Linked DNA regions of Lepisosteus oculatus. The protein of the gene in region 3 binds, or shares a complex with, the protein of the main gene of each other region. Links are inferred from orthologs where the notes say so. Each region holds a gene or a part of one and is shown on either strand. Other genes may lie near its edges. The genes, in order: cdhr2, myo7aa, ush1c and anks4b.

Region 1 (7,724 bases), on a different chromosome or scaffold from region 3:
AGCAGTACAAGGCTCATCATCTTTATGGTTTCTGCCAGGAAGACTGCAAGCACACAACACAACAGGGACTGTTGTTAGAAACGAGGTAAAGCATTCACATAAATAAAGCTTTGGGAGAGTGTTACATATGTTTGACTTGTACGTGTACTCTAAAATTAGAGACAGTGGCTGGACTGAAATGAATTAAAGCTCTAAGTTACATTTAAATCCCTTCCATCTCCATCTCCAGGTTTACTCAACAAAATTAATCTTGTAAGTGTAACAGAGGGAAACCCCCTACAACCTGTTGCAGGAACCACAGGCACAGAAACACAATGGTGGTTCCTCACCTGTTTACTGCAGATTGTAAACAGCACAGTGTTAGACTTTTTTCAAAGTAAGGGTAAAACAATTGTATTCCTTTATAAATGTTCATTGGAAAAGCATCAAGTTTAAGTTTACATTTTTTGCTTTCTCAATGCCAAGAAACTGACTGCTGCGCTATACTGTACAAGAAACATGTTCAAAATCTTAAAAAGCCTGGCAATCAACCACCCACAATTTCTTGATTTCAAAATGTCGGTTTTAAACCTTCACCAACGTCATACACTGATTTCAGAATTTAAGAACTGAAGGCCCATTCTGTACTGAGGAAGGATCACTCACAGACTGATGACAGAACAACATTGTCTTGTGTACAGACTGCAGAATTTTAGCACTAAAGGATTGAGATATGGTTTATAATTATTTATAATTATTACTATATACTGTATACCTCTTCTGTATATAGTTCTTCTATTGCTTAAAAATATATTTTGTTTTCCATATTAAGAACACCCAACCTCCCATCTTGATTGACTATAGTTCATTATTTGAAGATAACAATTTTCCTTTTTACTACATTTGTCCTACAGAGTCTTTTACAGAGACTTATCTTTTATTCATTGATTTAGAATTGCATCAGGTACACCAAATTCCTTTACAAAATACCAGGAAAGAGAAACCCCAAGTAGTAACCTTTCCAACGGAAGAAAGGCTCAATAAAAACTACAAAAAGCAACCACAAAACAATTCATAAGAGATGCTAGGAAATAAGATGTTTAAATACTGGATTTTTAACAGGTTCTCTGTGATCAAATGTCTCACAACCACCTACAGTATATACCATGACCTTGTGATGGCCTTAGTGATTGCTACTGCTTAAATACAAAAGGAGGGAGAAACCACGTTTTCAGTACCAGTGGTTTTAAGGATCTAGTTTAAAAATATGCTGGTGCTAATTCCACTTCACTTGTCACTCTGATGCTGGGTGATCCCATTGAGCAATTAAAAGATTTGCTGGTGTGTTAATTAACAAATCCCATTAGACTGGAAAATATAGTGGCACCTTAAGGCAAAGCACAATGTCTAAGGTTTTGTCTGTTTTCACTAGATTTAGGGTTGTCGCTGTTATCAAGAATGAGATCGTGCAATTTGTAATAGTGTGAAAGTGAATCCTACAAATTAGTTGCGTGTTTTGAAGAATATATTGTATATTCTTATAGCTTTTCTCAGATTTCTATCGTCTATGGTACACTACTATGCAATCATTAAAACGTTTCCTTGATTTTTTTGTAAGTTATTAATTGAGTGAGACAAGTTGTGAGCTTTTCCTTTTACTCAGAACAAAATTTGGACTTCAAAGTCCTCTCCCAACCCTCTGGTTCCTACAGATTTCTCATCTCTTCTTCTTTCCAAGAAAGTAATATTGATCATCAATTGATGTATTCAATTGGAAACAGATACTGGACTGAGAAGAATGAGCACTTTAGAAATCTTTGACAAAACAATAGATATCATATCATATTTAATTAGAATCTGTTGTATTGGATTAAATGATTTATTAAATGATATTGTATTCCTGATATCTGTAACATGGAGACCAAATATGTAGGTAGTTAGTTGATATCATACTCACAATTTATTTAAAAATTTAAATGTACAAAACAATATAACAATAAAGAAAAATTTAAAAAGCTTTGCATTACAAACCTAAGAGCAGGTAGACCAAATAAAACTTTTTTTTGTAAAACATCAAAAGTATACAAAAGCTTGAATTTACCTTGGACGACAACTCCTCTCAATGTCACTTCTTGGGTGTGTTCCTCTCAATGTAGGGAAAGAAGACTGAAACAGACCTTTGCCTTCTTTAAAAGTAATTAACAGCTTTGGAGATTATGGACGCCTGGCTGTAAATGTGAATCATTTACAGTGAGTGGTACTGCCTTGTCTCCTTAAAAACACAGCAACAGAATTTGTACAGTACCTCCTATTAACAAGATAAATCTCTCTTGTGGCTGCATCAGCTGCAAAAATAAAGCATTTAAAATGTTACTGTACCAAAATGTTAATTAGGTAAAATGCTTGTCCCCTCAGAAAACTTTAAGTGTAATCTTCCATGTGAAATCAAAATGTCATTTGGCCTTGTGCTTTTCAGTCTAACTTCGTAAAGCTGAATTATAGCACATACTGTCAATTACAACTTATTTTCATCCATGGTGAAAAAATTAACAACAGATTAAATTATGGATATTGTTCCTCTCATTCCCTTTTTTAGGTTGTAAATACAAGCAGTTTTTTATAATACTGATTGTGTGTTAAAATTCATGTTAAAAGATTCAGCCATTGAGAGCCACTGAAATAACGTTGTTAGAGGCAACATCACTTGCTTAAAATGACCAACTGTCATATTGCCACTCAGCGTCGTTGGTAATCCTGCAAATGTATACTTTAACCCTTAAACTGATTTGCAAGCAAAATAACCTGTTTGCTAGCAGAACCCCCAGCAGTGCCATGTTTAGTTAATGTTTCTTTTAGGCCCACCTGTAGAGTCTGACACATATTTCCCAATGTGAATGACTCATACCTATGTGCAAGATTTTAAATCAAAATCCCATCTGGCATTCTTCAATGAAGTTAATAAAATGCATGAGGAGAGAACTACTCTGCGATTTTCTGTACCAATGAATGAACACTAAACTCTCCAATCACCAAAGATCCTTCCCACTCGCTCACAAAGGCACTAACGAGCTGCTCCTTATTATAAGCCCCCACCAGTCACTCCTTGTAATTATCCTGATGCAGACAAAGGATAATCCATTGAAGTGTTTTTTTTTATCATTAATAAACAAAAAGAAACCTCAGTGGCCTACATTTAGGCTTATTCATTAAAACAAAGAAGGCCATTGTGTTTCCCTTTTCAGTCTTAATTAGGAGAAGTTCAGTCATCTGAACTGAAACCCATTTAGCTCATTCAGACAAATAAAACCTGTCTGGAAATTTGATATGATCTTTTTTAGTCTCCTTAACCGGTCCTTTCCTTCGGACTTTGACAAGGCCAAGTTAGCCAAATTTGTCTTTGTTCAGAAAAAGATACTGTTTTAGGTTTGAGTGCTCCTTAGCCTTCACCCATCAAAGACAAACTGTGAGATGCTGAAAATAAAATTAATGCCAAATAATCACTGTTACATATACGGAATAATAAAAGACATTAATAATGCAACATGTTGAGTATTATTGTAACTTCTTAAAATGTTTTGTAGATCACACTGCAGCTAATGGGCCTAATGGTCTCCTGTCATTTGTAACCATTTTTCTGCTCTTATGTTTAGAGATGTCTAAATTGTCCTTCATGTCAGTTGAAAGCAGAGTATGTGACACCTGGGTTGATACACTTTTAGTGGAACTAAATAAAGTTAAAAGAGAGTCACTGAGGGAATCAAAACTGTCAGGTAGAACTTATGTACTGTAAGAAATTGACTTTTCTTATCACTTTATTTTGAACTATGGTTTTATAGCGTGTCATTCACATTCACATGTATATACCTACAAAGCTTTTCTGTTTTGGGTGGAGCCTGGCAGGCAGCAAACAGTATCAATATTCAAACGTCATATGCATCATATACAAACCTGTGTATTCAGAGATCAAAGTGCAATCTAAATCATCATATCCAAGGTTTATGACTTTTACGGGAGTACTTTATTTAAAAAAAAAAAACAATTTAACTTGATATGTATTTATAGGATATTATTACTGAAGAAATTCAGACCACAGCAAAATGTTAAGATTGAGGAATATGACGTCTACAGCAAAGAGGATTAGCCCAACTGTATATTGGCAAGCTGAGACAAACTGATGCTTCAGAAATAATAATGACCCAGTTATGTCATACACAAAGCCTTCTGAAAACTCAAAACATCTTTTTTTTCTGCGTTGACCTGTTTTATTGCTGCTCGCAGTAAATCTATAGAGACCTTTCTTTCCTTGCCTTTATTTCCTCCTTGCACTTAAATTTCCTTCTGATACATTTGGGAAGATGGCTACTTACAAGGTATTGGGCTGCGTTTTGTTTCAATGTACTAAACGAAACAAATTGCAATCACATTATTAAATAATACAAAAAATGTTTTACTTTTTGCTCAACTGCTGTATCATTTAACAACCTGCCATCATAACATGTCGGCGACCTGTACATTACCATAGTCATAGTCAAAAGGAAAGAAACCCCTCCATTTGCTTAATTGCTTTCTTGTTCAGGAGCTGTCAAGCACCCAGTCCAATCCAGTCTAATTAGCCAGTGCACAGCTGCATGGTGTCTAAATATTCATCCTGTATTTCCCATTTGTTTCAATTTTCACGACAAATTTCATATTCAAAAGAAAAATTTAAAACAGACGCTTTATGTATTTGTGGCTTGTGGGACATTTGTTGGCACTGTTACCCTTGAAAACACATGGGGGCATCTTTGAGTAGTGTTTAGATCTCTGGACTGTCACTGGGAGAGTGTCCCTGCTAGTTCTTGTAGATACTGCTTCTGTCTTCTTGATAAAAGTACTTTACTGTAATTTCTCTTGTTCCCCAAACTGTAAAAATAGGTGTAATTGCACCAGTGGAAGTGATCCTGTGATGGATTAGTGTCCCTTCTAAGGGGGAATCATCTCTTGGTCTGTTTAACACTTCAGAAGCTGGGATAACGTCTAACATGCTGAGCCTCTACACTCAAATATGGATTCTACCTACTGGGTAAAAGCAAGAATACTGAAGAACCACCTAAGCAAATACTACGCTTAACCCTAATCCTTATGTTACAACTAATAACGAATGTACTGTGTAAATACACAGCTGGTTCCTGTAGTATTAACTATAGTGACATAAAATATTATGGGATCTACTCTGACAAATTTCATAAATAGTTCCATTTTGTCAAAAATCGCATTTTCAAGTTTCCACATTTCCCAGACAGTTTCAGTGGTTGACCCATATTTAAAATGCCATGAAAGCCGTAATCTGTCACCACATTGTTCCAAGTCTGAGCTACCCGCTAACTCTGAGCTCCTTACAGTATTCGGAAATTACAAAACCATCTTTTAGTGAAAAGATAGTGTCGCCCTGGAATCAGTCCAGAACAGAACACCCAAGAAAAGAGGACTTAAAGGAATGCCCTACACTGTCTGCCAGACGCAGAGAAATAAATCTCTTGAGTCTCGAACAGAGAAAACTACAAGGAGACCTCACTCAAGTGTTCAAAGGCACTGTCAAGGGCAACTTAATGGGTTTCCTCTGATTCAGCAGCGAATCCCAAACCAGAAGGCACGTGGAAAGTACAAGGGTGTACATTTAAAACCAAGCACAGGAGCTGCTTACCATGCAAAGTGTTACTGGGGAATGGAACAAGCTATACAGCCATGTTGTTGACGCTCATACTCCGTCATCTTTAATGGAGGAAGGTGCTGGAGATACTCAGTTTAATTAGCTACTAGCTAACCACTAAGCCAAATGCCTTCCACCTATCTGTAACATCTCTTACATTTTTCCTATTCCTGCATCTTGAAAAAAAATCCAGTCAAAGTGCTAGTGACAAGAATGATGTGACAGGTAATGATATTTGTCTTCTCTTTGTTCAGGCTGTGTAATCTTTATCATGTCAAAAATTATCACATTTCATGGCAACTCACAGAAATAATGTGTACTCAAATAAACACACTGCTATAGGTTCTTTTATATGTCTCTCAGAGAGCCACATACAATAACTCTTTATAAACAGGACAACACTTCAAAAACAACCTTACACTGCTGAATTACTACTAGACTAGACAAATCGTTTGTGCTTTGTTTTGTTTTTTTGCCATAACCAAAAGTAGTTGATCTTTTTAGCGTTTTAATTTCAGTTTCTTGTTTAAGGATAAACCTGTTATCATAAAAATGCTTCAAATGATACCGTTTGTGCTTGTGCGTCTCACATAGTTATCAAAGTTCAACCATAACTTGTCATTTTTATTGCAGGCTTATTTATCAGTGTTACCTCCATGCAATAGAGATAAACTTGTGTGCAGGTCCATTGGATCGTGATGAAAACCACGTGACTATGTCGTAGCACACTGATAGAGACGAATAGTGGTGGAAGATTAGAAATGGCAGGGTGGTGCTCTCCTCAAGCATGGACTAACTTCATCGTGGCAAGCCAGCTGAAATCACAGTTGCCTTTACCCACCTGTCTGGGCCCTTTTCAGATGTCCTTTCTCCTCTGCAATACTCTACACCAATGGATTGGTTGCAGTTATTAGCGTTGAACACAGTGAAAATCCCCAGTGCCGCTTGAACTAGTTCAGCAGTAGAAAGATATATCAGTATATTTATATCCGAGTCCAAAAAAAAAATATATAAAAAAATATTTACGCAACATTTACAGCACAGAGAAGTTACAATAGACTAAACGGTATTTGTTGCGTTTGCACTGCCCCCTGGTGGGCACTATTTTAATAGCGTATGACAGCATTTTAATTTGAATACAAGGAATACGTAAACATTTCGAAGACGAGAAATTTTAACTTTCAAAAGCAAAGCAAATGCAATTAAAAGTTAGGAATATATATGTACATATGTACGTAGGCATTCTACCTCTGTTTAAAAGAACAGTGTCGTTTCTGAAATTTCAGACACGTCATATTGTTTGGTAAGATGATAAGCCGGTTCATTTCGGCATACATACAAAACGAAGTAATTTTATTTGCGTTTGCAAGAAATAAACAAAATAGAAATACAAAAAAAAACAACTTTGCCTCTGTTTGACTTGTAAAACACTATGCAATGCATTCGCATAGCTTTTAAATGAACATTAATTGGATGATTGATACAGTGTTGGACTGGCCTGAGCTAAGAGAGACATATAAACTAAATAAAAATACATTTCAGCGAGATTATATAATTTTCAAAAAGTCTATTCAAATTCTATTTTTGGCTATATCATCATTATTCCTATACTGTTACCACACTGCGGTTCTACTATAGATACTGTACTATACAGTCCTCAAAATGTGATGAGTGACCACCTCGTTTTCCCTGTTGTCACCAAACAGGTATAATCGTGAAATAACTGAAAGGTGAATGAAAGAGCCGAGACCACCTTCCTGTACACACCGATTCCTGTGTGCCAGTCAAGTCTGATGACATCATCAGGTGGCCAACAAGAAGTACTCGCTTTTTGAGTCGAGGCCAGACTCCTCCTGAGCACCTCTGTAAACCTCTGTCGCAAAAAGCATCAGGTGATTTCATCGACTTTTGTCTTATTTTGGAAGTGCTGAATTTGAAACATATTATTATAGGTGCAATTTCAGTCCCGTTGATCGACTCCTGGCTGTTAAGACTGGCGCCGGCTCCTGAAGGGTGTGTGGATTTTTAGCTGTATGTGCTGCCACCCAGTGGCCAG
Region 2 (7,052 bases), on a different chromosome or scaffold from region 3:
AAAACCTTGTATTCACCAATATCGCTGCTAATTCATTAAAAAATATATATCTATCTAAATAGGTTGTGATGTCACCATATACAAGCATATTGATTTTCAAAACTGTGTGACATAATGTAAAATTAAATTCAACTGGAGACTTCTGCAACACTATTTCCAGTGACTGGTATGAGCAAATGAATGAAAAAAGATGATGTGTTACATTTGTGGGGGGAAAAAATATCATATCAGCATATGAGAAAACTGGAAACTGGAAACTCTAGTCTAGAAGATTCTAAGCCTTGCTGCTGAAATGCTTTGGAGGGCACAAGAAACAATCTGTTCAACACATCACTTCTAGCCTGCCACAGTGCAGTAAAGTATGAAGTATGATAAAGTGAGCAGTGCAAATCATTATAAATACACAGCAGGCATACAAGGGATGAGATGATAAGAACAAATCAGTTATAACAAGCTGTTAACTGAGGGAAGACACTGTGTACCGGGCACCCTGAATATTGTCTGTGGCAGCTACACATTTTACCATGAATATTTAAATACCTAATTACAGCAGGAGGGGCATGAAACAATAAAACATGAGAGCTGCATCTGGAAAGTTGATATTGCCTTGCCATTCTCTTCCTGTAGGTCTGGTCAGGCAGATAACCACAGACCTGAGTTGGGATGTCAAGGGGGATAATCATTTCACTTTGTTCTTCGGCTTCCGAAAGTTACTGTTGCGGATGATTTGACCCTCGTCATCTCACAAAATTGTTCTACCTACATGACTTACTTGCAATTCATACTACGTATGGTCTACTAGTACTACACAACTACTAGTAAACCTGGTTATAGCTGATATAAGAGTTTAGCATAAAAAGCCTTCATAGAGCACAGCTGGTTAGGCCGGTTCAGTGTACTGTCCTCATACTGTACATATCAAAATGAGTGACAATGGACCAAAATGTGAGCATGCATTGACCATCATTGCAGCTGTAGATTGAAAACGCCAACTTTATATAACCTTTGCTGCTACAATACACCCTACCAACTCTATAAAATGATTTATTAAATAACACTAAGTCATGCCCCCATGTGTGTTAGCAATCCATATGTGGCAATCCTATTAGCCCCTAAGATCACAGCCTCTAAAATTCTTTCAGTTTGCTGATTAATAATGTCTATCACATGCTTTTGAGGAGGGAAGCAGACAAAATTATATGCACCCCAAAAAAGTCATAATAATGCCAATCTGTGTTCTCAGCAATGGTATTTCATATTGCGAATATGCAACATTAATAAAACTACAGTACCAATCACAGCCCTTACAGAAGATGTTTCAGATACTGGAATTAAAAGTTGCAGGTGCATCTAATACTTATGCTCTTTTGCAGAGCAATGCCTTTTATATCCTTGTGTGCCTTGCTGAGACCAAGTGTGAGCTGCTTATCAACTGCACTCCAGGTCAGAGAGGTACAATAGAAGACACCTTGTAAGGCCTGGGAATCAAAGTGGCTCATTTTAAAGACAAGTCCTTGCAATGGACGAATCACCAGCCTGCCTTATAAAGTCAGAAAAATCCTGTCCACAAGAATGTGCAGCTTACAACACAAAACCCAGCAGGAGCTGCGTGTCAGCAATGTAGTTAGTATTCATAACAGACATGTTTCCCTCAACAAATTTCCTGCATATAATGATTTCAGGGCAGCCTGTGTATCACTGGTTATTGAAGGCTGGTTCCGAGGCAACTGTAAATTATGGAAAAATTAAAAGTGGGGATGAAGAACACAGTTTAGTAAGGAGCTCTGTTGGTTTGCTTTCACTTCACTTATTAGATTACAATGCAAAAAAAGTGTGGAACATAAGTTAATCATTACTACAGCTCGGTAATGGCTTAAGGAAAAAATGTAAATATCTTTGAACCTCCACAGTACTAGAATCTATCGTCTGCTGTAACTGCATGTCAGCTCAGTTTTGGCATCCATTAAGACTATCAATGCAATGTGTTACATCATGGTTTCTTAGGGACAGATCTCAGACTGGATTTACCCCTGAAAATCCAATTGAAAAAGTTATGAAACACAGGTTATAGAGTGATACTACAAAAACAAACCAGCATTAGTTATGTATAAGGTTATGTAACTGTCTGCTGTTCAAGACTATTTAAGTCTGTGTCACAATCGGTGAACAGAGTCTGAACTTTAAAACAATGTGCTCATCCTCTAGACTAGCTAGAATTCTTACAAACACTGACATAAAATGCCCTTCTCGTGTCTTGTCTCACTCTTTCAGTTCACTGCTCCTGTAGATTTATTGTATCTTGTCAAAGGATATGCCATTAATGAATGACCAATAAGGTCAAGTGCTTAATCTCTCTGGCACTAATAACAACAAGAAAGAAGTATCAGTGTGCCATTTCACCAGCTTCAAAAAAGTCTTCATTTTAGGGCGTGTGGTAGCTTTTTGTTTGCTAAAAAAAGTATAATTTTCTAAGTGTGCATTAGAATTTTATTTCTACAGATTTGTCATTTGGCAGCCATCACTAAACTAGTTTCCTTCTGTTAAAATGTTTGCATTAAAAACTCAGGTTCATCTAATACAACTCAGGATACAGATTGTTTTACCTCAAAATTCAATATATATTGTGTGCTAACTCTTGACGATCTAGAAAGCTCTCCTAAAAAGTCTGTCTCTTTTATTAAAGTGGCCCATTACCGTCTGGTTCCAGCTATGCTGCAGGGGAAAAAATGTTAGCTCTAAGAAGCTTTAAATAAACCCTTAAGAAACCAACAGCGCAGTTAAGCTCTGGATCCCTTTGCTTACCTTTTAACCAACCAGGAATCCTGCTCTTTCTGCTCCACTTTATTCCACAGGAAAATAGTCCAGAGCAGGGACAAGTGAGGCACCAGTTGGTGGTGTAGGTGACTGAAACGCAAAACTCTCTTTCAAGTTGACTGACGCACCTGCTGAAAACCGGAGTTGCCGTGTAGAGTATGTGTGCTGTTGGAGGGATTAGGCAGCAGTGCTGCTTTCATTCACAGACACTGATCCCTCTCACAGCAGGGAGGGAGGGCTTAGGGCAAACGGCTGGTCATCAAGGAGGGAGGAGGCAAACCAAGCCCTAAAGGAGAGCTTCAACACCATGGGCTTTGGAGAAGTAACCAGAACACTGTTACTGCCCATCTCCCTCCCTGCAGATCCTGTTCTCATTGTGGTGGTCCGTTCAAGTTGGGTTAGATTTGATTTTTAGGGAAAATTCCCTGTCATGATCCACCATTTCTCACAGCAGATTAACCCTTCAAGGGGACCTGGGGAAAAAGAGGCATTTGATCAACAGTAGTTCAGGTGGGTAGCAGCGTCAGCATGCGTAGGCTGCAAAGGAACAAGTAATGGGTTTATTCCATGCTGAAAAAAAGAAGAAAGAAAACAACGTTTCGGCCATGGAACCTTCTTCAGGTGTGAGCTCAGACGTCCTCAGCACTTCTTCTTGTACTTAGTGCAAGGTCTAAAACATAAAGTGCATATTTGCTCTCATTGATCAATCATACACATGGATTATCCTTGAGAGAACAAGATAGTAACATTCAGAATGCTGGTTTGAAAGTCCCAGCCTGAAAAAGTTAGAATACCTCTTAATGCAAAGTAATACAGTGATTATTTGTCAGATATTTTAAGTAACTGACATAGACAGAACTAAGTTTTCCCTGTAAAGGTGTATGAAATTGTAACTATTAATATTCAGTAAAAATAACCTTTAAGAGACTGTCTCAATGTCACGCTGGAGAAAACACAAGCACTTTGTAACATTTCACAGTTGCACTGTTTGCAGTTAATAGCTATTTTATGTCAATTATCTTTACTGTGTTGGAAAGCAAATTGTCTAATATTCCACACAAGTAAACCAAAAATCAACAATAATACATTTGTTTAACATAACACTCTTAATACTCAGCAAACTACTGTACGTTTTCAACAAAGTTATGTTATTTTATTACAAAGCTGCATTGTACCTATTTTTCAGTAACAGTGTAGCTTTCCCCACATAAATCCTGAGGAGCATCTTTTATTTGAGTCTTATTCTACCGTCATGCAATTAAAGATTCTCTTAATGTCAAAATAAAAAAAAATACTTAGATTCAACACTGCAGCAAATTAGATTTTCAATTCAGTTCAATAAGAAATATTTATGATAGATGCACAATTTATTTTAAGATGAATGCCAGAAACCTTCTCTAAAGCCACAAATCAAGAAGCTATACTGCTTATTTAATCTTTGAAGAGAAATCTATTGCTTGATATATCCCAAACTGTTCTTCTTCACAATGCGAGATTAATAACATTGTTTATGTGGTGCTGGCCCTTTATATGGAATCACCGTTGCCTTAAGAAAGCTTCAAAAGTAAAAGTAACTTTTCCATCCACATCAGGTATAACCTGACTTCACAGTGAATTTATGTTTGTAATCCACGCTAATAGTTCATAAAATGGAGGATTAAAAACCAATGTTTCAAAAATTGTTCCCTTAAAGATTCCTACAATTTCTTTCATTTGTATTATACCTGCCATCACGAAGGATCTTATAGTTCTTTACACACAGGATGGGAACCACTTCTTTCTAGATCTAGGTGATATACAGTAGCTGTGACATTCTGACAGCCACATTGCTTAATAGGTCTTATAGTGAAGTTAAAAATTACTTCAACATTTGAATTGAATTGAGGGGCAACCTTAATTAAGCCAGTGGTAAACTCCGTGTAATCAAGCACCATTTCTCTTACAAATATGAGTAACTTACCGTGCGCAGTGTCCCTAGTCATGATACTAGGGCACTGGTATGGCTAGTCTGGTCCAGATGGAAGAGCGCCACCTACTGGTCCACCTACAAAACATACTGCAGCAACATGGCTTTCCCTAAAGGCCTCTCATCCCAGGAACTGCTGGCCAACCGAGCTAAGCTTCTGAGATATTACTGCCATGGACCACTTTGCTGTTGGTGGATTTAAAACGGAGAGAAAAACCAAATGTGCAATTATCACATGCGAGCTCGAATTCCCCTCTCCTTGCCTTTCTTTCTTCATTCAAAGAAGACAAGAAAAAGTTCAGGTGTTCCATCCATTAATTGGTTAGCAAACTGGTTTCAAACTGTTAATTTGCTCCACCGATATGACAATAAATCATCTGCTCACAGCAGTCTAAATCTGCACAGTCCATAACAAAAAGTAGAAATTTATTGCTGTTGTCGTCAGCTCTGAGGCAAAGCAGCTTTCGTTTTTAACAAAGCCACATTCTAACCCCACAATAGTTCTCTGCTTTTCAACAATACACTACCCACAGAAAACTAAAACAATCTCTAAATACTGTAGCCATCTTAACAAAAAACGCTGGTAGAACCGAATAATAAAACAATAAAAGCTCTTTAATTTTATTTCAAATTCATGCCATAAATTGACATAAAATACAAAAACAAAATCCATAAAGTGTTATAAAATAACCACAGTAACACCCCAGTTAGGAATTGACAAGAAACAAGGAAAACATCCTGAAGCACAGACATTGTTAAGCAAAAAGCTTTTTAACAACATTAGACATTTTTTAAATCAATATTCAGCACAGAAATACAAAAGATGTAACAGAAAAGTAGAAAATATTAAAAAAATATTCATAAAAATCTTGCAGTGTCCGGTATAGAAGTTATCATGCAACACATTTGCAAGATTCAAGTCAGATTATGCAAAACAAGAGCTGGGTCTCTGCAATTGGCTGATTTTATTGACTAAATTTCACAGTTTTACACAGAATGAAAAGATGGTCTATATGACTACTATTTGAAATGTTGTCTATTTCTGTGGTTTGCATAAACTGTTAAGTACACGATTGCTGGAAAATGACACAAAGGAATGTGCAGAAAGCCGATAATTAGGAAAGGATTTAATTTACACTATAATATCAAAGGTAATTCTGAAAGGTGCATATATGGTCACGTGTATGCTGAAAAACACTAATAATTGGCAATATTTTAAGCAAAGTGACTAACATGTTACAATCAGGTAGGTGAAAGAAGCTCCTTCTTCTGTTCCATGCATGATTTTTTAAAAATTCCTTTTATATCGGATGCCGGTTTCAGACTAGGACACACATAATTCAGAAAACAAATACACTTATTGTAAATATGTTATACTCAGTCATATATGACTTATAAAGCTACTACACAGTTCTCAGATCTACCAGCAGTAGGTCAGAGAAAAAATGTAGCAGTATTAAAGAAGTACATATCATTATGCATTTTACATCATACAGTATATAGAGCAGAGCTATGTCAGTCTTTTTAAGTGTAAACAAAAATACTTTGTAATAATTTGCTCATGAGTTTTCTCCTCAGATCTAAAGCTTTAAGAGCACAAGTTAGCATCTTTTGCCACTGGGACAATCCACGCACTGTACTTGGAATATTTGTATTTTTAGCTTTATTCACATTAAAAGAAAACCCATCTGAACAAAGTGCATGAGGACTACAAGGAATAAAACTGTTACACCAAAATCAAAATGGACGAACACTGCCCGAAATATCCTTGTTAAGCCCGTGTGTGCCTAGTCGTTTTTAAAAATATTCATCTATAAACATATGCTTCATTGTAATATCGGTAAAACCTAAAATTGAATGACTAACAAAAGCTGTTTAAAGGAGAGTGCTCTAGAAACCTGGGGTTTGGAGCAGGGAGACTACAGTATGTTGGGGGCACTTGGTGGAAAACAAAGTTTGGTCTCTAGAAACCCAAGACTTAAGTCCCTTTACAGCACAGTACTTCACCCCAATTTCTGGCAGCCAATCCACAGTTGTAAAAATGGGTACCAGCATTGCTGGGGAGTAACGCTACAATGGACTGAAGTCCCAACAAACTCACAACCTGCTGAACGCTTTGGAATCAGGAATAAACTCTGGTTTAATGAGCTTCTATACAAACACCCCTGGTCTGTGTACAGCAAGTGAACAATTACCTTGGACTGCAAAACAGTCCACCAACTATGTATGGAGAGCTTCCCATATAAATATCTAAAATAGAGGGCTTTTAATT
Region 3 (7,584 bases):
TGCATTGTTTGCATTTTAAACCTAATAATGTACTATACAGTACATTCAAAATATAGCTGCCTTTCAACTTTTCAACTTAGTCAGTTGTTTTCTCTTTTGCTAACACAGAAATACTTTCTTCTTTCAGGAGTAATCCTATCCATTTCACTGTATAATGTTAAAGTAAACAGATACAGTTGCTTATGTTATTTTTATATGTTCATTAAATTGTGTTTCTTTTGCTTACAAATAGAATCTCATGGGCCAGTTTCTTTTTCAACCTCAATCACAAAAACTCTGTCTCACTGCTAAACTCATTCCATTACATTTAGATGTGGATCAGTGAATCTGAAAACCAGCAATTCAGTTAAAATGGGATTATATATCAAACTCTTTTTTTTTCTTTTCTACATTTCTTCCAAGCTTGGCCCATCTGTTTTACAGCATCGTTACATGGGCATCTGCAGAAGCCTGCTCACCTTGACCGTTTAGGGGTGAGCTGGTCATACTCCACCTGGTGCTTCAGGGGGATGAGAGGTCGAATGGAGTCAAAAAGAGGCAGGCGGCTTGGCTCACTAATGACCAGCTTTAGATCACCAACCAAGACAGGGAGGTCCATAGATCTGGGAAAGAAAAGATGAAGGGCTACCAGAACAAAGAGCTTTAACATCAGCCCAGCAATGGCAGGGGTACAGCTGTATATCTCGAGCTCAACAATAAATGTCTCCTTTTGACAACTTACTCTGTGTCAAACAGCCTTTAAGGCTCGAGGCCTGAGAACACTGATGAAATAGAACATTTAGAAAATGTGAGAAATTATGAATTAAAATACTCCCTGGAACCATCCGAATGACTAAACGTGGTTGATTTATTCAATCAGACAAGCCAGCTGAGAACAAATTCTCATTTACCACAGCAACCTTGAGAGCATGCATTTATACAGCAGCTTTTTTACTGGAGCAATCTGAGTCAAGCACTAGTTCAAGGATACCATCGCAGTAACCCCCTGACACACCTACCCATTTCAGTCAATAGCCTTAATGACTCCTGCTCCTATCAAACGGTACAATACTGTGACATGTGATGTGTAATGTATATTGACTTTAACATTGAAACATCATGTACTGTACAATTAAAAATATATCTGCCACCCCGACTTTCAAGCAACGAGATAATGAAAATTATCTGAAAACCTCTTGGAAATGTTTATACAATGGATAACCAAATCTACTTAAAAAACTTGTTGCAATTAACACAAATAAATGTAAATGTAAAAAGCTGTTTTGCTCTGTGGTAGTTTCATAATATATTTTGGGACATCTCCGTGAGGTTGTCATTTTAAAAAAAATGTATATTATGCACTTTCTTATAACTAAGAGGCACTGTAACAAAATAATGCCTTCTGACACAATTAAGTATTAATTCTCCATTACTAAACAGGTCCTAAAAATTAAAATAGGTCAAAGGAAAATGACTGCACCATACCGACATCTACAGTATATCAAATCCAGTTAAGCAAAGATATTAAATGTGGAAAATTAGCTTATTAAAACAATGACAACAGTTCTAAAAGTGAAGAATACTTTTGGATAATAAAAAATCTCAGTGAACTTAAAATTGCCTGAATACATTAGCTCATGCTTAAATTAGTGCCTTATTTTCTGTAATACTGTATACTGTACACGATGACAACCACTGGATAGGAGGTACTTTGCAGATCTCTATAAATCATGTTATGGTTCACTTAAAAGTTCTCCACAGCTGCTGAGCATAAAGGTACCAGCAAGTTCCTGAAGCACTGTAGTAAACTATACCTCATAAAAACTGCTCTGGCATTGTATGACAGCTGTTTATGAATTTAGCAACCTGGTGGAGTCTTTAAATTATTAACCATAGCTATTTCATTTCTGACGCACAAGCAAAAGCGAATATGAATAGAGGTTCAATTGGACAGGGAGTGAAAGAGAACTGGATACATATCCAGTGAGAAACAAAACTGTTCCTCCTTACAAAGATCACATGGAAACTTCTGCAACATCTACATTTCACTCCATTCAGCTGCTATTATTACACAACTCAGTGGAAACAATACCTCCCACTGCGGAATTCTTTTGTCAGTATTCCTCAGACAAATCTTGACAGAATATACCGTATAAGCACATCTGCTGAAGTTTAGTTATTAAAGTGTATGAAATCGATTCAGTCTTTTTAAATGCAAAATGTGCAGTGTGGATAAGCAGAGTGTCTCACTGAAATCAAAAGATGAACTAACATTACTAAGCTATGCAGTAATGATAAAAGTACAATCATTTATACATAAAATAAACATTTTACTTGATGTGAGAAATGTTCTGCATTTCATAACATGCTGGGATTTTAAGAGACCTGCATTTCATGCATCACATTTAAATAACTTTCCTGTTTCCAGCACAAATGGAAAGAAAACTTATTATTCATGGGTAAAATATTAATAGTGTGATACAGTACTATAAGTCTACATTGAGAATATTAACAAAATATCTTAAAAATATTGTATAAATAGTAGTGGGTAAAATGGACAATATCAGAAGAAAATAGCCAAGAAAAAACAGGACTCACTGGTGGTACATCCGCAGCACATCGTAAAGGTAATCCTTTTCAGCTTCATTGTCAATAAGCAATTCCACCTACAAAGTAAAGCAACCACACAATGATAACATTGTTTTAACATGCTGATAATATACATATTCAGAACTGACTTGATGAACGTCTTTAGAGAGCATACAAAAGGATTTCAACAAAAATGAAAAACGGATCCCACATACGGCATTGCAGAAAGTCATGCGTTTATATAGTCCCTTACCTGGTAACGGCTGAACTGCTGGACAAATATTTTCAAAAACCTTTTCGGCCATTCATTAATGTAGCACATTCCTCCCATCCAGAATCAGTGTAGCTGCTTGTGTAAAGTGATCACTGGCTCAAGAGCAGTGCTACAGTTATCCAGAGGGTATTGTTGTCTACAATAAGTTCCCGGGGCAGATCGCTTTCTCTGCTCAGCCTGCAGCCTTCATCTGGCTCAGTACTAGTAGCCACTTCTATGCGTGGTAATGGGAGGTTCAGCTGGAGCAGTGTCACTTTACAACACATTCAACTACAGCCTCCTTTCCACAGGCCCTGCAGTACAGTATATAAAGAGGCCTTTTCTCCCGACTCTATTAGTAACCCAAAAAGGTCTGATTTCTGTCGCATTTGGAAATAAACTTTCCTTCAGATTAAGTTTGTTTTGATCAAAGAAACTGCTTTAATATGAATTTTAAGAATATCTAATATTATTCATTAAAATTATTAGGCGCTTTGTAGGTGATGCAATTCATGCACCGCTGAAAAGAAGCTTCTGCCTGGGACAGCAGATCCAGACAAGGAAAGAAAAATGTTGTCACCAAAGGGCTAAACTTTAAGAAGGCCAGATTGTGAAAGTCCAGAGTAGTCAGGACACTGGGGTTAATTAAAAAGCTCACTCATATAAACACTATCATGCAATCTGACCAAGTAAGCAGGGCCTTGGTTTAACGTCTCGTCTAAAAGATGAAACCACCTCCAACATTATCCCAGGTCATGAGGCACTGGTTTAGGCCAATCACAGGCTCTAGACTGTGGACAACCCTGCCACTCCAAAACACCCGGGTCTCTAACGGGAGAGTTCTCCATGCCATCAGTGATCAGCGTGACTCCACTCTGCTCCTGCCGGGATCTGATCACAACTGCTAGTGACCCAGAACCACACAGCCAGAGGAGACTTCTGCTCCTGTGGAGCTGTAGAATGCAGTGGACTTCAACACCAGGTCCTCTTCTGTCACAGAGTCTTACCCTGTCTAGCTTTCAGAAGGGGGTGATGTCACTTCTGTCACTGACTCAGTGCATGAGCCCTGTTACACCAGCACAGACTGACAGCACTGTGACTGGAGTTGGTACTCTGGTATCTGTGATGGTGGTGTCCTGACAACTACCCCTTTCTCTTTGTAACTTTACAAATTACAGACAGATGCAACTTTGTCCGCTTTGGGACAGCTCATCAAGAAGTAACACTAATAGACCCTATTGTCAACAACAGCTACTGCCCTACCTGCCTTTCTTTAAGCTTCCTCATGCAAGCATAAATAATATTCCTCCCATGATATTTAAAAACCTTTTCAACACATTTTCAAGGTGCATGTTCAGTCAGTGTTAGAGCCCCTTCCTTTCTGAGAATACAGTCTTGCAGCATTGCAAAGTACAAAAGTGGATTGCAAATATTCCTAACTGAATCATCTGCAGCACACAATGCACTGTGTCTAAATTTAGATTTCAACCTGAGTTGTATTAAAATGGAGCCTTTACTATGTAATTAAAGATGATGTGTGCAAAATGGCAGCTATACCGCTGAGTAGGTAGAAACATTCATACGTCTCGTAACTCATTATTGCACAATTCATACCACCCCAAAGACTTTGATACTTGAAAGCCATAAAACTTGCCATACTGATAGTGAAATACCAGCAAACTATGACGTAAAAAATGGACATTAAATAAACAGAAGCTAAAAATAAAAATTGAAAATAGCACTTAAGTACATATTCCAATTTGTGTTAAATAAGAGCACCAGAGAAGATTTAAAACGGCATATCTAAAAGTGACATTTTCTGTATATATTTAAAGTCTGTAAACACTGTTAAATGAGTGATATTGAACATAATGGCACAACATGTGAAAACAATTTACATTTTCATGTTAGTTCATCCTCACTATATGGGAACACGGTTGAAAGAGTTTAGCCACAGTAGTAGCAGCAAACACGTGAGATGGATCAAATGGCCTCCTCTGGTTTGTAATCTTCTCAGGTGAGATGACAGAAGAAGAGCGAGTTTAAACATCTTTGTAATCCTCTCCTTCAAGAAGGATTATTTCCCCTTTTTTGCAAATGAGCATAATGCGTAGCACAAAACAAAACAGTTTGGGAATATTTCCTCTTGAGTGCCATTTTTCAGAAAGTACAGCCTTCAGAAAAACCAGAAACGGCATTTCAAGCACAATCAGGAGTGACAAATTAGATAAAAGGTCAACCGAGCTCTGTTGATTCAAAGCCAAGTGTCCTTTATTATGCAGCGTTCTCCCCCTTTGATGTCATTCTAATTTAATCAACAGTAAATCAGCAAAGAATGTTTCTGCCTCACTGAACATATTTGGTAGCATCTATAAATTATGTGCTGAAGAGCACAGCTTTATGGGGTCGCAATTTAGCGACTAAGGCACAGTGAGTCTTTTTTATATGGAAGAACCTACCCCTACCCATGGTGCAACTTTCATATCATGTGGCGTGTCAGATATTTGATGTTTTTTTGTTCGTTTTTAACGTTATAAATTATGATCCTTAGCAACATGATGTTTTATAGACCATGTGTTGTACTGTATGTGTACAGATGCTACCAGTTAACTGTTTTCCACATCTGAGCATCTGGACTTGTGTATTATTTAGTGTTTTTGACAATAACTTTTAGAAATTCACATTGTAGCATCGTTCCTAAACCCAATCAATCACAGATGTAGGCCTAGAAACTGCGAGAGTTTATCACGTTTTCTGAAGTGCAGCCTACTGTATTGATTAGTATTTGCATAGTAATCCCATTCTTGCTCCTGTTTTGAAACACAATACTGTATCAAATGAACTATAATTTATAAATTCCGTCCAACAAAAAGCAAATTAAAAATAGTAAATACAAGTTATTTCGATACACTCCACTACACTCCATTAGCTGCGCTACACATTTTCTCAGCTAAGAGTAACAATTACCGCAACTGTTAGAATTCATAATAATAAAAACATTCAAGAAATAAAATAAATTAAGTAAGTAAATAAGTTAGTAAACGTACATAACTGCCACGTACAACGCCCTTCCCCCATGTACATGGTTAATTGATAGGGGTCAGAGTACATATAGTACATGTCTTTTGTCATCTTGGCGTTTTTTTTTTAAAAGACTGTTTTACATGTACTGTACATGTCTTGATACACACGTCTCATCCCAAGCCCCCGCGTTTCCTACCTTATGCCTGAATTCGCGAGCAACTTTTCGCTCCATGGTTGTGCGCAACACCGGGCTCCTGTCCGCGCTGCCGGCTCTGCCGAGCTCGTTAGTGCTGCTCCTCTGCGGCTGTCTGTCCGGCGCTGGGAGGAGCGGAGCGCTCAAGGCGCTTCCCTGTTCCTTTCAATACAAGGCTGGAAAGACGCAGGTACAGCTACCTGCTGCGCATAGACCGCTCCGGTGTGAATACCGGCCGGTCTCCTCGTACAAATACTCTCAACAAACCGCTTCCTTCCGTTTTGTAGTTTGTGTATACTGTATCCAGCATTTGTTTTTAAAAATCACTATATTTTAGGAATAAATACTTTCGGGGAAGAATGAATACTGTTTCACGAATGCGCTCTCCACTGGATTGACATCTCTTTCCGAACTGGTACAATATAATGTACCCGAGTTCTTACTACGCCCTATTAAGATACCTCTGGTCGACAATATTTCTGAAACATAATTAATTTGTGAATAAGAATTACAAATAAACGGTGAAAAAATATTTAACATGGCTTACGGTATTAATGTTAACGTAACAAGAATAAGGGGTTAACTACGATGATGATAGTTATCTATTTTATAAGCATACATTAATCTCTGAAATGAAGTCTTTTACTTTTAAACATGTATCCCTTCTGGAAATAAGTGCCCTATATATAGTATATATAGCTTTAACAAATAAACATTTTTTCAATGTGAAGGGAAACAGGTGAGTGTTAACTCAGATCTCCGCTAGGTGGCGACCTACTTACTTATTCAATCCCCTATTCCCAAACAGGTTTGTGTGGAATTGTGAAGGTATCTTAAAAATTTAACATCTCACCTTTTTGATTCAGTTTTGTTTTTGTAAAGTACAATGAACAGAAAAATCTCCTTTTGTTTTTTAACGGATTCGGATTTAAACTGTGAAAGTAGACCACAAGCTTGGTCTATAATAATTTTTCAAATGCATTTTAATTATTTTGTAGTTTACGTTTACACTTCTCAGTCTTAAAACAATCGAGGCACAAAACCTTCAAATGAAAAGGAGAATAAAAGTCAACTCTGGTATAACGGATAATTTAAGTCAAAACAGGAGAGGCTTAAATCAGACCGTTCTCTGGGCAAGGAGTCTGAACAGCAAGTAATATTCTATTTCCTCCGAAATGCGTTTTTAATAAGCTGTTTCAAGCAGAACTTAATGACTAAAGACGGACATACGCATTTTATACATTTTAAGACAGACTTCTGACATAGGTTAACATTACGGTAGTTTGCTCATTTGCATGGCCTCTGATACCTGCCTGAATAAATTATGTTAATTAGTGCCTGTCGTCATTCTTTAAGCAGGAGTAGGGATGCTCTCAGATCTGAAACAGAAGAGAAAGTCCACCTGAAAAACAAACTTCTACATTATCATAGAAAAATGTGTCTCCTTTACAGCTAAACTACTTTTTTTAATCTGGCTTTTCTTGGAGAAATTGATTCCATCAACACCTGGTGCATATGAAGCACGGATGGATTCTAAATTAAGTTT
Region 4 (7,708 bases), on a different chromosome or scaffold from region 3:
ATAAATATCCGAAAGCAATTGATTATCCTACTGATTTTCCAATGGAAACAGCTTTTATCACGGTAAGGAGATCAGGGTTGTTACAGTATGTTTGCATGTGACAACCGCCGAATACTTAACTGGTGAGGTATTAAGAATAAAGTCCTCATGTATATTATCTACTGGCTTGTAAAATGCCCGCTAGGTGATAGTCGCTTAGCAACTACACAAATGTCTGTGTGAGTCCTGCCATGGACAGGTGTCCCATCCAGGGCGTATCCTGATTTGCGACCAGTGCTTCCTGGGATAGGCTCTGGGCCAGCGTGACCCTGAACTGGCCTTCATTGAAATTGATGATGATGATGATGGTGATGATAGTGATGATTCTTGTTAACTATGTTTTGGAAAGACACATCAACAAACTGACAACTTTTTCCAATTTTAAAGAGAAGAATAAAAACATAAAATAAAGTAATTAGCTGTTACACATCATTTATTGTTCTTTCACCCTCATTACATTAATGTTCACTAAAATACTTTTTAAACAATGTAAGATCTTTTCTGTTATAATGACTAAAATTCTCTCTGGCTCTCTCCTGCTACAGTGTGAACACATGCGATTGAAAAGCTGCAGAGTAAAGTCTCAAACCTCTCTGAACTGAAAGAGCCCTTTGTGTTGTTTGAGCATTATTCTGTTTTGCTTGATTAGATCTCTGGCATCATTCAGCTCCTAAAAAGCTTCAGCTCCCAAAAAGCTTTGCAAGTGACGCAAACTGGGGCGAGAGTTTTTAAACGATATTTCACGATACAAACGCAGCAAAAAAAAAAGCCATTGTAAAATATGTCAAGGCTTCAACAGGCTGATGTGGTCCTGCAACAAAATCCCAGGAGAAAAGTATGTTTGTTGAAATGATATTCTGTTGTTTCAGAAAAAAACGATGTTTGATCACTTTGCCCGTGTGATTAAAAAGCTGCACTGATAACTGCTGAAAGCTGTTATATACAGCAGGTGATAATCTCACAGCAACCTTTGATACCTGCCCGTGGTGTCCTTTCGCGTTTCTCAAGCTTTGACAAACCCACAAGTACAAGTGACACCGGCTGCACGGTCCCCAGATCAGTTCCCCCACGCGTTCACTGGTCTGGGCCTCACGAGAGCCGCGTGCGGCTGTACCATCGCCACCTTCCCAGAGATCAGTGGATTCCCTGGGAGAAAGCGCGAGGAAGGAAGAGCCCAGCTCTTGTCTTGGGGTCCGGATTGCTTGACCTGCTGTTGGAAGTTCCGGGTGTTTGGAGACTGAACTGAGTGGAGTTGAAAACTGGAGGAACTGGTGAACAAAAAGAAAAACCGTGCAATGCAAAAACAAAGAGCTCAGCTGACCTTGCTAGCTAAGTGTCTAGAACTCTCTGTGGTGACGTTATGTCTGTGTTAGAGCACTGAGGAAGTGTCTTCTTGCAGGGTATAAAGGTCTCATCCCATGAAGAGACTTTGCAGGTATGTGCAATACCACCCACCCCACCCACCTTTGAGGAAGCCGACGTGAGCAACTCCGTTCTGTTTTTGTTCTGCCTTCTGTTTGTAGGCTTTTGTTTCTGAGTGTATTCCCTTTTTTTTCATTAAAATGGGAAGCGCTTGTTTACAGCACTTGGGGGAGGCTGGTTTGATGGTCGCTGATCGCAGTATAACTCCGGCATCATTCTTGTCGGGTCGTTTGGCGAACGGAAAATGAAAGCACCAGCTACACGATGTTCAAGGCGTTTAAATTAACGTTAAGTCACTCGCGCCATCCGCTTTCTGATCGAAAAACTCTTTCAGCACCTGCTGAGATACCGTTAGATTGAAGTCAAACAGATCAAAGAGATCACAGGCGGAAGAGATCGATGAAGGGGAAACCGGCCGATATAATATTGTAAAGTATCCCGTAATAATATCCTGTACATCGTTAAGACGCTGTGCGACAAAATCAACGTCCGAATACATACGGAATATTTTAGAGAACATTAAAAAGTAAGGAGGGGGTGAATATAAGTACATTTGACATATTATTGAAGCATAAGTAGGAGGAAAAATACCATTTATGTGATCTCTATTTGCTGGAGAACAGAATTCACATCGTGAATATTTTTAATTAAAAAAATCTCTTGATGGATTTTTTTTTGTTTTTGAGAAAACTAAAAGCTTTTTGACACTACGCAAAAGGGAAAAAAAAGTTAAAACTACGTTGTATTCATACATGGAAATGGGACTTTCAAGCATTTTGCACACAAAATATTAGTTTAAAAAAATAAGGGTAGGTTTTGCCATTCGTGGTCTACAGAAGTGTACTTTTTAATCCTGTCTGTCCTCTACGGTCAGGTTTTCTCTGGGGTTTCGCCCCGGTGAGTCGCCTCACCGGCCGCTCGACGAAACGGATGCCGGCTCCTCGCCTTACTCACCCCCTGCTGCAGATCAGCTGCAGCGCCTCGAGATGTCCGTGGAAAGCCGCCCAGAGGGTCGGGGTCATGCCGTCCTCATCCGGGGTGTTCAGATCCTTCCTGGTACCCTCTTTCAGCAGGTCCAGATAGCCATCGATGGCCGCTTTATGGTACCTCGTAGACATGATGACCGGTGCCGCTCCTCTCTCTTTCTCAGCTTGATGGCGAGACCTCGGGACACAGACCAGCGCCTCTACCGCAGGACGCCTCGCATGATCGCCCCCGCCAGCCTGGAAAACAAGAGTCTCTTCAACACCAAGGGCTGAAGATAAAGGCCGAGTCGCCACCTCCACCTGCTGGGCCATAAATCGCAGGCAAAGTCCATCTCTCCTGGCTCGGTGTGCATTGAAGGTGGCGCAAATGGGGAGACGCCAGTTTGTACGGCGAGGACTTCATCGATCCGCTCTTTGCGGTGTGTTACAAGAAGGAGAATGAAATTCACCCTCTCCCTCCTCTTCGACAAAAATCAAAATATAATTGTATCACATATCGAGACATGGAGTGACTTGATCTGTGTTATATCCAAGGAGACATTACAATAAAATAAGATATCTATTTTGTTTCTTTGACTAAAGTCACTTTTTGAACGAGAAAAACTAAAAAAATAATTTAATAATGTTCTAGTTAAGGCTGTAACTACATATGACTTAATAAGGCTTGTTTTCTAACATGTATATGTTAGAAATAATAGGTTTAGTCCGTGCCGAAAACAAATTCCACACCTGAATAGGAATAAACCTATTACTTGTTCCTTTCCAGCCTACGCATGGTGACACAGCTACCCACCTGAACTATGTTAGAAATATATACATATTACTTAATACCGTACGTCTTAATAACCCATGATTCAACTATGCACACAGTCATATCTTTCATAACAACAAAATTGCTGTATGGGTTTTAAAATTCTATTTTAAATATATTAATAGTTGAGTTGAACAGGCTCGCCCTGAAATAAGTAGCTGCTGTAATTAAGATGATGCGCCTCCGCTCCGACACGCACGCAGATCTGGAACCAGGGGGTCTTAATTCCTCCGGGTTGTGGGAACAGTTTGTTCTGTCTGCTCAATGTGCTCATTAAAGACGTGAGGTCAAAGGAGGAGCTCTTTTCGGTAGGTCAGTTAATTCTCTTGTTATTATTGTACCACTCCTACAGATGAGCCTACAGTGCCGCCATTGTTACACTGTCGGCTAGCCGAGATCATTGTAGGATTACACCGTTAAGAGCCTGGCTTTAACACAACGGAAAACATTGCTATTCACGAAATACTTTTATTTCGCAATCAACGAGTCGCCCTACAGCAATATAAAAGCAAACTACACAATGGTGCAATAGACATAAGTAATAAAGTTACCCACAACAAAATATAATTCGTGCAACATGAATTCAGCACCAACCAACCCCTTTAGACAGTACTAGTATCTCCATTAGTATGGAAGACAGTGGAAGTGAAATGATCTAGGGTAAACCAAAGTTTCTTTAAAAAAAACTCCCAAAACGAAATATTTAAAATTTTCTTTTGACAAACGCAAAAAAAAAGAGCAGGGGATATTAAACATAAAGAGATTTGACGGAGCTGATTCTAATTAAAATATTCGCCGCGAATTCGGCTCCTCTTGTTTTTTTCTTCCGCCGAGCCAGTCGTGGCTAGTGAGGTGTGAATTCTTCAGCCCTTACTTGTGGAAAAGCCGGCCCTGTCTGGGCTCCCTCGCCTGCCTGCGGGACAGCCCGGGCCCGAATCAGTACCGGGACTCTCCTCTGGGGGGCGCTCGCTAAAACCCACGTGACTCGAGGCTGCCCGCAGAAACCCAGACAGACCCGCACCCTCAAAAGACCCCAAGAAAACCCCTTAACAGCACCCCAATACCTCGCCTAATGGCTCACCCTGATGTTCCCAACCTACACTACTTGTCTGACTTTTTTTTTTAAGTTGCATGTTTTTTTTTTAACTTCTTGTTGTTGTTGTTGCTGCAGCTGTTCTGTGTTTCTGTTTCTGTTGATTTCTTTTACTGCCTTTGTATCGGAGCCTAAGTGCAAATAAGCATTTCACTGCGCTGGGGCAGGTGACAACTAAACTGAACGGAACTCGCGCAAACCCGCTGCCTCCTGCTCAGTTTCTCCTGGACTCCCGCAAGTCGGACCCGAAACACCTGTATGTCGGGGATCCCTCCCCCCTCCTCCCCGCCCTACAGGACACAGAGAGCCATCTCCGGCGTAGCTCCTCCTCTGCACGCAGGAGGAAGCGAGGAGGGAGGGCCGTTTGCCGCAGTCAGCCCGGGAGCGGAGAGGAGTTGGAGCCGGTGGTGTTATACATGCGCCCTGGCCAGGACCGCGCCGAGATGTCGCCCCCGCCTCAGCAGGAGGAAATGTCGGAGCCCCCGGTGGCCGCCGTCGGCCTGCTGTCTTATGAGACCCTCGTACACGCCGTCGCTGGGGCTGTGGTAGGAGACTCGGGGCAAACTGGACGAGCTGAGCTCGGATTTCAGGGTCTCAACGCGTCTTTATGTACTTTTCACTTCAACGCCATCGCGCTGGTGCCAGAAGTCTCGGAAAGTCATGTTTTAGTGCGAGTTTTTATCTGACCGGCGCCTAGCTGCGGGTTCTGTATCCGGTCTGCGGACCGAGACAGAGCCCCGGCCAGCGTGCTTCACGGTAACACAAAATACAAACTACCGCATTGCTAAATACGTCAACGCAGATGACAAGCGTCTCATTGCAAAAAGTAACCGTGCCAAGGTCTGATCGTTCAGGACCTTTTTTTCTTTCTTCTTTCCGCCCCCGAGCGGAAAAAGCCCCGTCGAGGGGCGGGTTGAAAGTGCGGGCTGTTCCGTGTCGGCGCTAACCCCCCGCCGCTCCGTGCCTCCGCAGGGCAGCGCGACGGCCATGAGCGTGTTCTTCCCGCTGGACACGGCCAGGATCCGGCTGCAAGGTGAGACGGGCAGGGGTACCAGCAACGCTTTCGGTTCAGACCAAACTCTTGACCAGCACAAGACCCAGACCCGCCGCGGGACAGCTGCACTGTGCTGCAGGTGCCCCGTGATCACATGACCTCCTGACCTCATGAACCTGGGTCTAACTGGGCACAGCGCCCACTGGGGCCATGTCTGTTCTGTTTGAGGGCAGTGTTTATTTTGCTTTGTTCTCGTTATTGTTCTGAAAGGGTTAAAAGGCGGCTCTGATGTTAACTGAGGGTGATTTTTTATTAAAAACAATTTGACTTCGGGAGGGTGAAAGAATGGGCACTGTGTCGGTCTTTATTCGAAGAGTCCCCCAGCGCTGAGGCTCTGCTCTGAGCTCTGAGGGACTGCACACTGATGGTCAAGTTCCGGCCGCCGCGGTGACGGTTTTGTGTGGCTGGTCACTTTCAGTGGACGAGCACCGGAAGTCCAGGTCCACTCCCGTCATCCTGGCCGAGATCGCGAAGGAGGAGGGGGTGTAAGTACAGCCGGGGTCGGCGTCCGGGGCGGCTGGGGGGGGGTCTCGTGACGAGCCGGACCTGCCGCAGGGCGCATGGTCCCCTGCCTCCCCCAGGGGGAGGAGGCGCTAGTGAGCAGCTGCTGCGCTCTGGCCAGGGACTGCGTTTGCCCACAGCAGCGCAGGTCGGCCATGGCGGAGAGGGTAGTTGGTCGGGGGCCGCTTTGTCGCGGCTCGGGGGGGCCTGAGCCGCCGCGGATGTGTGACGCCTGGGAGCGGGCTTTCCCTCTTCTTCCTGCAGCCCGGCTCTGTATCGCGGCTGGTTTCCCGTGATCTCCAGCCTCTGCTGCTCCAACTTCGTGTATTTCTACACCTTCAACACCCTGAAGGCCCTGTGGGCGCTGGAGAGGGGCCGGTCCCGGCCGGGCAGAGACCTGCTCATGGGCTTCATCTCGGGTGAGAGGGCGCCGCCCACAGTCTAGACAGAACTCGCGTGAGCCGAGAAGAGGTTGTACTGAAGCCAACGTGTGAGGCGTTGGTTTCTGCAGGCTGAACTCCCAGCCCGGCTGAGCTCACGGTGTCTTTCAGGGGCCGTCAATGTCCTCCTGACTACCCCCATGTGGGTCGTCAACACCAGGCTGAAGCTGCAGGGAGCCAGGTTCAGGAACGAGGAGCTTCAGCAGACTCACTATAAGGGCATTTTCGGTGAGCCACCCTGTCAGACCACGCCGCGTGTTGCCTTGGCTTTTAAAGCTGGGCCTGACATGAGACCACATGAGTCAACTCCTGTCCTGCAGGCACTGCGTAACACAGCCCCCCCCCTGTCTCTCTAGATGCCTTCTCCCAGATCGCAGCCCGGGAGGGGCTGGGGGCCCTGTGGAACGGCACGCTGCCCTCCCTCCTCCTGGTCTTCAACCCCGCGGTGCAGTTCATGTTCTACGAAGCGATGAAGAGGAGGGCCGGCCGCGGCCGCAGGAAGGTGAGAGGGCCCCTCGCCCGCCCCTGTCAGCTGCAGGCCCTGCCACTCGATCCCGAGCCCCAGGCCCGACGGGGAAAGAGCGGGAGCTTTGATCCACTTGGGAACGCAGCTGGTATGAAGACGAGGGTGAGGACCAGCCACGGTCCCTGGGAGCCTAGCAGCTGCTGGTATGTTTAGCTCCCGTGATCTCGGAGCCACTTCATCGAAGGGCAGTTCCAGGGCCCCAAAACAAAATCAGGGTTTTAAGGAGGGCAGCCACAAAGCCGGCGGGACTGAGGGCCACCCTCGTGTGTGACCTCTCCATTTCCAGATGCCCCTGCCGGGCGGTAAGCTGCGAACACGGCTTGAGTGTGTTTCTCCTCCCCCTTCAGATCTCATCGCTGGAGATCTTCCTCATGGGAGCCCTCGCCAAAGCCATCGCAACCACCGCAACGTACCCGCTGCAGACCGTGCAGGCCATACTGAGGGTAAACAATCGCCTGCTTGTCGCTCTTTGTGTGGACCGTCCTCCAGATGGCTCCGGGAGGAATTCTGAGGGAGAGGGCATCTGGTTTCTAAGTGACAGAGAGAAAGCCGAAGCAAAACGCAGACGAAACCCTTTTAAGCTCTCGAGGTTTGGAGAACGAGAGAGGGCACGGGGGTATAGAGCACACCAAAATAATTGGGGACTTTTTTTTTTAAATGTACACCTAATAATATACTTTTTCCTCTTCCTTGTCCTGCTTGGCTCAGAGAAGCCTGTGTCCATTTCATTTTTAAAAGTAAAGTAAATTTAAAGATAAATAAGGGCGTGACCTGATAGTAAGATGGACGCAGATTCTGTGCACCTTCTCCTGGTCAAAGATGTGGCATTTCAGGTC

The links.
Region 1: ush1c (region 3) and cdhr2 share a complex: the UniProt entries of both Homo sapiens proteins name them as parts of the IMAC/intermicrovillar adhesion complex. The link is inferred for Lepisosteus oculatus from reciprocal best matches to the Homo sapiens genes USH1C and CDHR2.
Region 2: the proteins of ush1c (region 3) and myo7aa are in contact, whole or in part, in a crystal structure (PDB 5MV9), measured with the Homo sapiens proteins. The link is inferred for Lepisosteus oculatus from reciprocal best matches to the Homo sapiens genes USH1C and MYO7A. Residues at the interface, in NP_001284693.1 of Homo sapiens: Glu450, Pro456, Ile457, Val461, Val462, Ser463, Tyr466, Glu467, Lys479, Gly480, Pro522, Tyr526, Asp527, Asp528, Glu529, Leu530, Thr531, Phe532, Phe533; in NP_000251.3 of Homo sapiens: Phe1946, Val1953, Ala1976, Lys1995, Lys1996, Trp1998, Gln2017, Pro2020, Lys2021, Arg2024, Tyr2026, Ser2112, Ala2113, Phe2114, Phe2115, Glu2116, Val2117, Lys2118, Ile2128, Ser2161, Gly2163, Asn2164, Thr2165, Tyr2166, His2168, Leu2181, Glu2183, Thr2184, Ser2185, Leu2186.
Region 4: ush1c (region 3) and anks4b share a complex: the UniProt entries of both Homo sapiens proteins name them as parts of the IMAC/intermicrovillar adhesion complex. The link is inferred for Lepisosteus oculatus from reciprocal best matches to the Homo sapiens genes USH1C and ANKS4B.

Annotation. Positions count from the first base shown.
Region 1 is NC_090706.1:37,321,696-37,329,419, forward strand, and holds the start of cdhr2 (cadherin-related family member 2), read right to left. Parts: upstream 3,018-7,724; 5' UTR 2,885-3,017; intron 2,252-2,884; 5' UTR 2,081-2,251; intron 44-2,080; 5' UTR 21-43; coding exon 1-20. UniProt on the Homo sapiens protein: Intermicrovillar adhesion molecule that forms, via its extracellular domain, calcium-dependent heterophilic complexes with CDHR5 on adjacent microvilli. Thereby, controls the packing of microvilli at the apical membrane of epithelial cells.
Region 2 is NC_090700.1:10,071,376-10,078,427, forward strand, and holds the start of myo7aa (unconventional myosin-VIIa), read right to left. Parts: upstream 3,013-7,052; 5' UTR 2,803-3,012; intron 1-2,802. UniProt on the Homo sapiens protein: Myosins are actin-based motor molecules with ATPase activity. Unconventional myosins serve in intracellular movements. Their highly divergent tails bind to membranous compartments, which are then moved relative to actin filaments.
Region 3 is NC_090716.1:12,309,463-12,317,046, reverse strand, and holds the start of ush1c (harmonin), read right to left. Parts: upstream 3,011-7,584; 5' UTR 2,900-3,010; coding exon 2,822-2,899; intron 2,646-2,821; coding exon 2,578-2,645; intron 603-2,577; coding exon 459-602; intron 1-458. UniProt on the Homo sapiens protein: Anchoring/scaffolding protein that is a part of the functional network formed by USH1C, USH1G, CDH23 and MYO7A that mediates mechanotransduction in cochlear hair cells. Required for normal development and maintenance of cochlear hair cell bundles.
Region 4 is NC_090714.1:16,471,668-16,479,375, reverse strand, and holds the start of anks4b (ankyrin repeat and SAM domain-containing protein 4B), read right to left. Parts: upstream 3,020-7,708; 5' UTR 2,760-3,019; coding exon 2,416-2,759; intron 1-2,415. Other genes in the region: slc25a17l (peroxisomal membrane protein PMP34), read left to right, coding at 4,768-4,896, 5,324-5,384, 5,824-5,890, 6,171-6,325, 6,458-6,574, 6,703-6,848, 7,220-7,315. UniProt on the Homo sapiens protein: As part of the intermicrovillar adhesion complex/IMAC plays a role in epithelial brush border differentiation, controlling microvilli organization and length. Plays a role in assembly of the complex.